2 linked regions of the Saccharomyces cerevisiae S288C genome follow. The protein of the gene in region 2 purifies or fractionates together with the protein of the main gene of each other region. This does not show direct contact. Each region holds a gene or a part of one and is shown on either strand. Other genes may lie near its edges.

Region 1 (4,221 bases), on a different chromosome or scaffold from region 2:
ACCCTGGTAAACTCAATTCCTAATGACAACGCGAATAATACCCCAGTGGAACGAGTTCAAAACGTCTCAGCATATCATAACACATTATCTGCCACAAATAATACTATGTACGATGCTACGTCAACCTGCTCCACGGATTATGAATTATCCAAGAGATTTGCTCATGCCCCCGTTACACGCCGTAAAAAACTAATTGATAGGCTGGAAGAATTGAAAAAGCTATCCAACCCTGATATGAATTGATCACTTATCAATGCATTACTTAAATATTCATATAATTATATCTATTACCATTTACATTTTATCGTTACTATATATAGTATTATCATGTCATTGAACGTGTTACGTCTATTATGTTACACTGATTTTTTTTTTTTTTTTTTACATAACAGCATCATGCAAGCCTTTAAAAATAATGTAGGTATGTATATATACAATAATATATATATATATATATATATCTGTGTGTAGAATCTTTCTCAGATATAAATTGATTGATTCTACTGAGGTACGTAGTTATCATCTTCTCTTTCTTCATCGAAACCTGGTCTGAAAGTACCCATTGCATCAGGAGGAGGGATATAATTATTCGTATTAGATTGTGAGCTACTGTTATCAAATCTGGAATGTGGTACGCCGACACGCTCTGCAAATGGAATGGCGAAGCCACCTCTGGATGCATCAAAATCGAACCTCAATTCATCGCTGACTTGACCACCGCTCTTACCACGACCAAACTGTCTTCCATCTTCAAAACCAGGATCTAGATCAATGGTAATTGTCTTTTCGTCTAACTTTGTATCGGACAAATATTTTAAGGCATTCAATGCTTCATCTGGACAACTATATATAATAAAACAGAAGCCACATGGCGTGAACTTAAAACGGTCCAAACCCATAATTATTCTTTTTATTGTGCCACATTTACTGAATAATTCGTAAATTTGTTCTTCTGATGTATAAAAGGAAAGATTTCCTACATAAATTGTGGATGACTTCATCGACTCACGCAGTTCTTGTAGCCCGTTAGGGTTTCTTCTAGCCTTGCGCAGCAGGTACCTTGATGGTGTATCTAGGCGTTTAGTTGAATGATCATATTTAACTTCGTCAAATTCTTCCAGGGACATCTTTCCCTTTATTTATTGGTATATTAATGGATGCAACTTTTATTCGATATTAGTCCTTTCGGGACTTTAAAAGCTGTCGAGACACTTTCTCCATATAAACTCATGTTCTATATTCATACATATAATATTTTTCTTGAAAAAAACACAAAAACTGTTAAAGCGGGTAATACTTTGATAAGCACTTATTAACGTTTATACCATACACTACTTCATACACCAATTACAAATCTATTAGTGGTATACTTTTACTGTAGACAATGTGGATTTTGATGTAATTGTTGGGATTCCATTGTGATTAAGGCTATAATATTAGGTATATAGATATACTAGAAGTTCTCCTCAAGGATTTAGGAATCCATGAAAGGGAATCTGCAATTCTACACAATTCTATAAATATTATTATCATCATTTTATATGTTAATATTCATTGATCCTATTACATTATCAATCCTTGCGTTTCAGCTTCCACTAATTTAGATGACTATTTCTCATCATTTGTGTCATCTTCTAACACCGTATATGATAATATACTAGTAACGTAAATACTAGTTAGTAGATGATAGTTGATTTTTATTCCAACATTTACTGGTACAATAGGTGTATGATATTTTCCCAAAGTTTAAATTTATATAATATAAGTGGCTTGTGCATTAATGCTCTTGAACGAAACTGGATAACGAAAACTGCAAATACTTGTAGTTTTAAACAGACACTTTCTGGGATAGGTCTATCAGCGAAGCTTGGGAATGTTTCGCCAAATTACCTGTATCCTTTCATGAGCGTGAGCAGGTTTAGGTCATGGTCACATCTTATTATATAAATTCTTTCAGAAGATTGTCAATTGTCCATCTATCGCCATAGATTATCTGAGAGCGAAGTTCCATTATGTCTACTAGTAGAAAATAATTTGAAGTTGAAATATAATAGCATTACAAAATTTTTTCTTTATATAGTCCGGTCTTGAAGAAGGATAACAATATTAAGTGTATGAAGACACAAGAACTTTTTCTTGGAAATTTGGATTTTTATGGGAGGAAACCTACAGCGGCAATGTATAATTATGATTAGTTCATCCTTTGCTGCCATCTGTTCGCAATTATTCATGCAATTGTATGATTATTGTCAGGCATTTCAACTTCCGGTAGATTCGTTTGTAATAATAGGTGAATTTTGTGTTGACATTATCAAACCGTTAAGATAGTGTTAGTTGCCAATTAGCATTTGCCTCGATAGAATGTGACGTTAGTTGTGGTACTAGGAATAAAAGTTGATGGCCAAACATTTTTCCTGCACATTTCCTTCAGCGTTTTCAGAAAAGAGAATTTGAGTAAAAATATTTTTGATGTTTAGGTTACCAATATCTCATTAATATAAATTTGAAAACAATGAATTTTGGGTTATACTTGGAGTGCATTTTATTGTGGTTAAAGGCTACAATATTAGCTAAACAGAATGTACAAGTAGTTTTCCTGGAGAATAAAAGAATTCTAAAAGAGAATCGATAATTCTATACAATAATATAGTTATCTCTTCTTTCGTTTATGTACTGTCGTTCTTGTTTTATTACGTTATTAATCCTTGCAGTGCACTTTTCATGATGACTGGTGACTGTTTCTCAATTTTTACATCATTTTTTTTTGAAAACATGATGATATACTAATAATTTGGATACTAGCAATAAATGCTTCTTGATCCTCTATTCCAACAAAAAAGTAACAAGAGCTTACTGATCTTCGGTTTTTATTTTACCTTATCCCAAATATCAAATTGAAATATACCGATTGTTTTAATCCGTTTTGTTGTATATTATCGTAATAATATGCAGATAATATACATATATACGTATTACGCCGATTAGGCTGACACTTTAACAAAATTTTCTGTCCAATTATTGTCCGATATAGTGTAACGGCTATCACATCACGCTTTCACCGTGGAGACCGGGGTTCGACTCCCCGTATCGGAGTTTTCTTTTTGCTTCCTTCCGCCCTTCCAAGTTGTTGCATAATCTTATCTGTCAAAATATGAACGCTTGAAAACTATAGATTATAATTATCATTTATTTAGCCATAATGGAGGGAAGAATAATATGATTGCATATCAAAGGTAAAAAAAGTCGAGTAAATGACTTATAAACGTAAAAAATATATTGATAAAAGACATAAACGAGGCCATGAAGGTGGGAAAAAAAAAAATAACTGCATAATAATGTTAACTAAATGAAAATAAAATGAAAAATAAAATGAAAAATAAAATGAAAAAAACAAATCATAGGACAAAAAGTTTCCAAATGAAGGATAAGAGGCCTAAAAACCAATGTGCTTTCCAGGCAAAACCAATCTTAGCAACAGCTACACTTTGGTTTTGTATAACTTCTTTTTATTTTTCAATGCACGCGGCTTTAACAGTTCAAAGCTACACATCATACCCGTTGTAACGCTCATTACTGCCCCCCAATTATGAAATTCTCCACAATAATTTGGTGCTGAAAAGATTGTGACAAACTTTTTCCTGGCAAAGAATTCATAACCATCTTCTACGACCATATGTCCCCTAAGTATTAAATCGAATTTAAACTTAGCACAAAAATCAAGAACGTTCCTCTTAGAAAATGTGTATGAAACACCACGATCATTTTCTGACCAATCAGTTACTTGAGGGTCTGGGTCACTCCACAGTAAGTCTGTAACCAGCCCGCTTTCAGGAATATCCGTTGGTCTTGCGACTTTTTCGATTTGCTTCATGTCATGTAAATCGGGCGATATACCTCCATGAACGCAAAAGATCTTATCTTGAATAATTGCTGCTAATGGCAAAGTATTAAATACGTCAACGAACATTTTCCATACTTTCGAGCTCAATCGCCTTTTGCATTCATCATAGAAACCGTACATCTTTGTGACATTAGCAGATTCGTGATTACCCCTTAACATAAAAAAGTTGTCTTTGTACTTTATTTTGTAACATAATAACAATAGTATTGTTTCCAATGAGTTCTTACCACGGTCCACATAATCACCCAAGAACAGATAATTAGTATCAGATGGCACACCAGACAACTTCAAAATTCTCAATAAATCATTAAATTGTCCAT
Region 2 (6,119 bases):
ATTAACATTTGGTAGTAGGCTTAGGCTATTTTTTGAAAAAGCCGTCATATATTACTTTGAGCCTTTGCGAATCCTCTCCAAAGTGTCGGTTACCTACCGGGAGGGATAACCGCGGATAGCCGTCATTTACCGAAAATTGCCGAGGTCATGCTGAGCATTTGTCGTACTTTTGTGCGGCGGAGCTTTGATACCTTCGGTAAGTGTCGGTATGTAATAGGTTAGTGGCATCTTATTTATTGTGTTGAGTAAAGTTTAAGATATAAACTGGGCTAGTTTGCATCGTCACTACAGCGGCAGCTCACTTTCATTTTTTTTCTGCGTTTATTAATACTACATAAAATCTGATATAAAACATATTTAACTGATCAACCCTCTCAACTTGATACTCAAAACAAGTTGACGCGACTTCTGTAAAGTTTATTTACAAGATAACAAAGAAACTCCCTTAAGCATGGCACCTGTTACAATTGAAAAGTTCGTAAATCAAGAAGAACGACACCTTGTTTCCAACCGATCAGCAACAATTCCGTTTGGTGAATACATATTTAAAAGATTGTTGTCCATCGATACGAAATCAGTTTTCGGTGTTCCTGGTGACTTCAACTTATCTCTATTAGAATATCTCTATTCACCTAGTGTTGAATCAGCTGGCCTAAGATGGGTCGGCACGTGTAATGAACTGAACGCCGCTTATGCGGCCGACGGATATTCCCGTTACTCTAATAAGATTGGCTGTTTAATAACCACGTATGGCGTTGGTGAATTAAGCGCCTTGAACGGTATAGCCGGTTCGTTCGCTGAAAATGTCAAAGTTTTGCACATTGTTGGTGTGGCCAAGTCCATAGATTCGCGTTCAAGTAACTTTAGTGATCGGAACCTACATCATTTGGTCCCACAGCTACATGATTCAAATTTTAAAGGGCCAAATCATAAAGTATATCATGATATGGTAAAAGATAGAGTCGCTTGCTCGGTAGCCTACTTGGAGGATATTGAAACTGCATGTGACCAAGTCGATAATGTTATCCGCGATATTTACAAGTATTCTAAACCTGGTTATATTTTTGTTCCTGCAGATTTTGCGGATATGTCTGTTACATGTGATAATTTGGTTAATGTTCCACGTATATCTCAACAAGATTGTATAGTATACCCTTCTGAAAACCAATTGTCTGACATAATCAACAAGATTACTAGTTGGATATATTCCAGTAAAACACCTGCGATCCTTGGAGACGTACTGACTGATAGGTATGGTGTGAGTAACTTTTTGAACAAGCTTATCTGCAAAACTGGGATTTGGAATTTTTCCACTGTTATGGGAAAATCTGTAATTGATGAGTCAAACCCAACTTATATGGGTCAATATAATGGTAAAGAAGGTTTAAAACAAGTCTATGAACATTTTGAACTGTGCGACTTGGTCTTGCATTTTGGAGTCGACATCAATGAAATTAATAATGGGCATTATACTTTTACTTATAAACCAAATGCTAAAATCATTCAATTTCATCCGAATTATATTCGCCTTGTGGACACTAGGCAGGGCAATGAGCAAATGTTCAAAGGAATCAATTTTGCCCCTATTTTAAAAGAACTATACAAGCGCATTGACGTTTCTAAACTTTCTTTGCAATATGATTCAAATGTAACTCAATATACGAACGAAACAATGCGGTTAGAAGATCCTACCAATGGACAATCAAGCATTATTACACAAGTTCACTTACAAAAGACGATGCCTAAATTTTTGAACCCTGGTGATGTTGTCGTTTGTGAAACAGGCTCTTTTCAATTCTCTGTTCGTGATTTCGCGTTTCCTTCGCAATTAAAATATATATCGCAAGGATTTTTCCTTTCCATTGGCATGGCCCTTCCTGCCGCCCTAGGTGTTGGAATTGCCATGCAAGACCACTCAAACGCTCACATCAATGGTGGCAACGTAAAAGAGGACTATAAGCCAAGATTAATTTTGTTTGAAGGTGACGGTGCAGCACAGATGACAATCCAAGAACTGAGCACCATTCTGAAGTGCAATATTCCACTAGAAGTTATCATTTGGAACAATAACGGCTACACTATTGAAAGAGCCATCATGGGCCCTACCAGGTCGTATAACGACGTTATGTCTTGGAAATGGACCAAACTATTTGAAGCATTCGGAGACTTCGACGGAAAGTATACTAATAGCACTCTCATTCAATGTCCCTCTAAATTAGCACTGAAATTGGAGGAGCTTAAGAATTCAAACAAAAGAAGCGGGATAGAACTTTTAGAAGTCAAATTAGGCGAATTGGATTTCCCCGAACAGCTAAAGTGCATGGTTGAAGCAGCGGCACTTAAAAGAAATAAAAAATAGAAACTTGTGGGCGCAATTATAAAACACTGCTACCAATTGTTCGTTTTCTGTTCATTAACACATAAAAAACCCTTATGTAACTATATTTACAAAGTAAATACGTATATTAAAGCTATTTTACCACTACCACAGAGTTCTTTGTCCAGTTGCTAGTATTTTTTTTTTCGCGACGAGGCAGGGGCGGGGAGACGTGTTGTTTTTCCACGGCTTTCGGCTCACCACTTGAAGAACTATAAAAGGCCGCCAAATTTATCCTTTTTCACTTCTTCCGTTCGCTTTTTTCTGTCATTCCTATCGTGTGTTTAGTAGTAGGTTTTTTTGTTAGAAGAAGTTTTATCCGAAAACTATCGAAGACAAATAGATAAAAAAATCTCCCTCGTTCTATTTGAAACTTTAAGAAATCCATATTAAGAAAATACCTACATCTGCTAAATGTCTGCTAACTTAGATAAATCCTTAGACGAAATCATTGGCTCTAACAAAGCAGGAAGTAATAGAGCCCGTGTCGGTGGTACTCGTGGTAACGGTCCAAGAAGAGTTGGTAAGCAAGTTGGTAGCCAACGTAGGAGCCTTCCAAACAGAAGAGGCCCTATCAGAAAAAATACTAGGGCACCTCCAAACGCAGTCGCTAGAGTTGCCAAGCTCTTGGACACCACTAGAGAGGTCAAGGTCAACGTCGAAGGTTTGCCAAGGGACATTAAGCAGGATGCTGTAAGAGTATGTTAATACGTGAAATGAGAGCTATTTGTTTAGTTACTCGCATCGTCTCGTGTGGATACGAGAAATATTCTTTGTAAGGAAGGATATGGCACACGCTTTTGATCAAGAATTCTCTTTTTAGAGATGAAGAAAGAGTCCGAAATACTTCGCTAGAGAAAATACAAAAAGAGTATCGTTTTCATAAGCCAACCATACCAATTTTTTTCAATACTTCAAATCATGGCCTATAAGGTTGGAATTACCAGCTACCACTGAGAATGGGTTTGTTCTTATTGGCTGGGTTAACTCAAATCAATCTGACTATCTGCTAATCTGTCAATCTTACATTTTTAAGCTGGCGTATTGTGTCGCCTCGACCGTGATAGTTAGTTCCTATTTTTAATAAGCGTATCATCCAATACTGAAGTTGTGGAAGGATCAATTAATTTTGTATCCTTTCAAGAGGGAGTAGCTTTCAGTTTCGAATGGCACCATTTTCAAAAAATAGCTATGGGAAACATGTCTTTCATGAACGTTCGAAAAGATATGAGTGCATCGCTTCATTTTTTTATTATGATAGTTACAAAAATATTTGATTTGAGACACCTAATGAAACCAAAGAGGAACTCACCCATCGTGGTACATGTTTATTTGAGGGTTTATTTTTCCTACGCAATGGTATACTTTTAATACTCTCAACTCCTTGATTGTTTGTGTATTGTCCCTTCCTTCTTTGATTTTATATCATAGAGATATATGACTAACTTTTTTTTTTTTATTATAGGAATTTTTTGCATCTCAAGTAGGTGGTGTTCAAAGAGTTTTGTTGAGTTATAACGAAAGGGGCCAATCTACTGGTATGGCTAACATCACATTCAAAAACGGTGAATTGGCCAGAAGGGCTGTTGAAAGATTTAACGGCTCTCCAATCGATGGAGGCAGATCAAGATTGAGACTTAACCTAATCGTTGATCCAAACCAACGCCCAGTCAAAAGTTTAGCCGACAGGATCAAGGCTATGCCACAAAAAGGCGGAAACGCTCCAAGACCAGTAAAGAGGGGTCCAAATAGAAAAGCTGCTATGGCAAAATCCCAAAACAAACCAAAGAGAGAAAAGCCTGCTAAGAAAAGTCTTGAAGATCTGGACAAGGAAATGGCGGACTATTTCGAAAAGAAATAATTAATTGTCAATTTTTTGTTTGATTTAATTTGGTTTTATTAAATTTAATTTTTCCGAGTTTCATTATGTATTAGTTTCCAGAAAATTTAAAGGATTAAAAAATGTATTAATAAAACTTTGATATGTTTATGTAATAATATTTACCACCGCCACTAGGTGACGCTAACCTACTCATCGGTGACGGCTTTTCTCACTTTTAAAGTTTATTCGGCATATTTGACTCATAATATGTCACTATTTACAGTGCGATGAATATATATATACATAATACTGCATTGAAAAAATGGATAGGTTGATTAAACGTGTGTTACTCGTTTCTCCTCCTATCTAAAAAACCTAATTTGTCACCTCTTTTTCTTGTTACAGCACTAAGCCCGCTACCTTCATATTTACTCTTTCTTACTAATTGATGGTCCTCAGAGCAATCAATGTTGTCTCCTCCATCTTTAGGTATGGGGAACCCTGGTTTGACTTGAGCAAGGTTATCATAATAGTTTTTTTCATTCACTTCACCATTGTTTCCCCGCGCCTTTGGTATAAATTTAGCATCTCTTCTAGCTTTCACTATGGTCTTGACCACATAAATAGACGCAATCCCGGCTGCAGAAATGTATAGTAAATTCTTACTGTTGAAATCGCATTGGTAGTGTTTTCCTACTTTCGTCTTCACTTTGGTTATATATATGGTGCAATCAAACTCTGCTTCAAGGGATAGGCCAATAAGGAAATAACCAAAAAAGAAGTCCGGGAAATAGAAAAAGATATCCAATGTTAGTTTAGGCTTTACGAATAGATGTTTCCCTATTTCTTTTACACATACCCTATATTTTGAAATGGATTTGACATTGTATACTTAGTACGGCTCAAAGAATGAAATATTACTATATTTATCTCTTCATCTGCCTTGATTTTTTTATATGCAAGCAGGACGCTCGGGTTTGTAAGGAGGAAGATTGAAAAGGATGTCTTCAACTAAAAGGCGAAGAAGGAAGCGACACATTTGTGATGCTTTGAGGTCAGTAATGTAATATATATATATATATATATATATATATATTATATAGTGTAACTGCTCTTATTTATCTTGTCTATTCGAACCCAACAAAAAAGGCTGCAGTGGGAATCTGTTCATGTGGCTGTATCACAACCAAGGGCTACCGTTTAAGAATACTGGAGAGCTCTTGTCGTCTCTAATTTTATGATCACGTGCCCATTCTAGTCATTACGCAGGTAATGCGAAAATTACAGTATGGATCGTGTAAAGTTACCAAGCAGAAAAATTGTAATAATTTTCTTTTTCCAAATTTTCTCGGTATCTGAAATTTTTCATTTAAGAGATGATATTTGGACTTACTCTAAACTATTACTTTACGTATCTTTGATTTAACTTCCAGTTACAGATCGTTAAGGAATAGTCCGCGAATTTATTACCGCTTAAACTGATTATTTCAAATATAGAAAGTAATATCTATTAATCAACAACAGAAATGAAATACTTAGCTGCTTACTTATTATTGGTTCAAGGTGGTAACGCTGCCCCATCCGCCGCTGACATCAAGGCCGTCGTCGAATCTGTCGGTGCTGAAGTCGATGAAGCCAGAATCAACGAATTGTTGTCCTCTTTGGAAGGTAAGGGCTCTTTGGAAGAAATCATCGCTGAAGGTCAAAAGAAGTTCGCTACTGTTCCAACTGGTGGTGCTTCTTCTGCTGCTGCCGGTGCTGCCGGTGCTGCTGCCGGTGGTGATGCTGCTGAAGAAGAAAAGGAAGAAGAAGCTAAGGAAGAATCTGATGATGACATGGGTTTTGGTTTATTCGATTAAGGAATTTAATTAATAAACAATTTTCTTGTTTTCCTTCATTTTACAAAATCTGGTGTAAATC

The links. Proteins that work in one complex are often made in the same cells at the same time.
Region 1: the proteins of YRA1 (region 2) and CBC2 purify together in Saccharomyces cerevisiae (affinity purification with western blotting; 7 studies listed by BioGRID, with this or other methods). This does not show direct contact.

What each region holds. Positions count from the first base shown.
Region 1 is NC_001148.4:209,064-213,284, reverse strand, and holds CBC2 (nuclear cap-binding protein subunit CBC2), read right to left. Parts: upstream 1,128-4,221; coding exon 501-1,127; downstream 1-500. Other genes in the region: CUP9 (Cup9p), read left to right, coding at 1-243; PPQ1 (protein-serine/threonine phosphatase), read right to left, coding at 3,479-4,221.
Region 2 is NC_001136.10:1,233,767-1,239,885, forward strand, and holds YRA1 (RNA-binding protein YRA1), read left to right. Parts: upstream 1-2,791; coding exon 2,792-3,076; intron 3,077-3,842; coding exon 3,843-4,238; downstream 4,239-6,119. Other genes in the region: phenylpyruvate decarboxylase ARO10, read left to right, coding at 452-2,359; COI1 (Coi1p), read right to left, coding at 4,546-4,864, 5,059-5,084; ribosomal protein P2 RPP2B, read left to right, coding at 5,726-6,058. UniProt on the Saccharomyces cerevisiae protein: RNA-binding RNA annealing protein. May have a role in pre-mRNA metabolism. Component the TREX complex, which operates in coupling transcription elongation to mRNA export.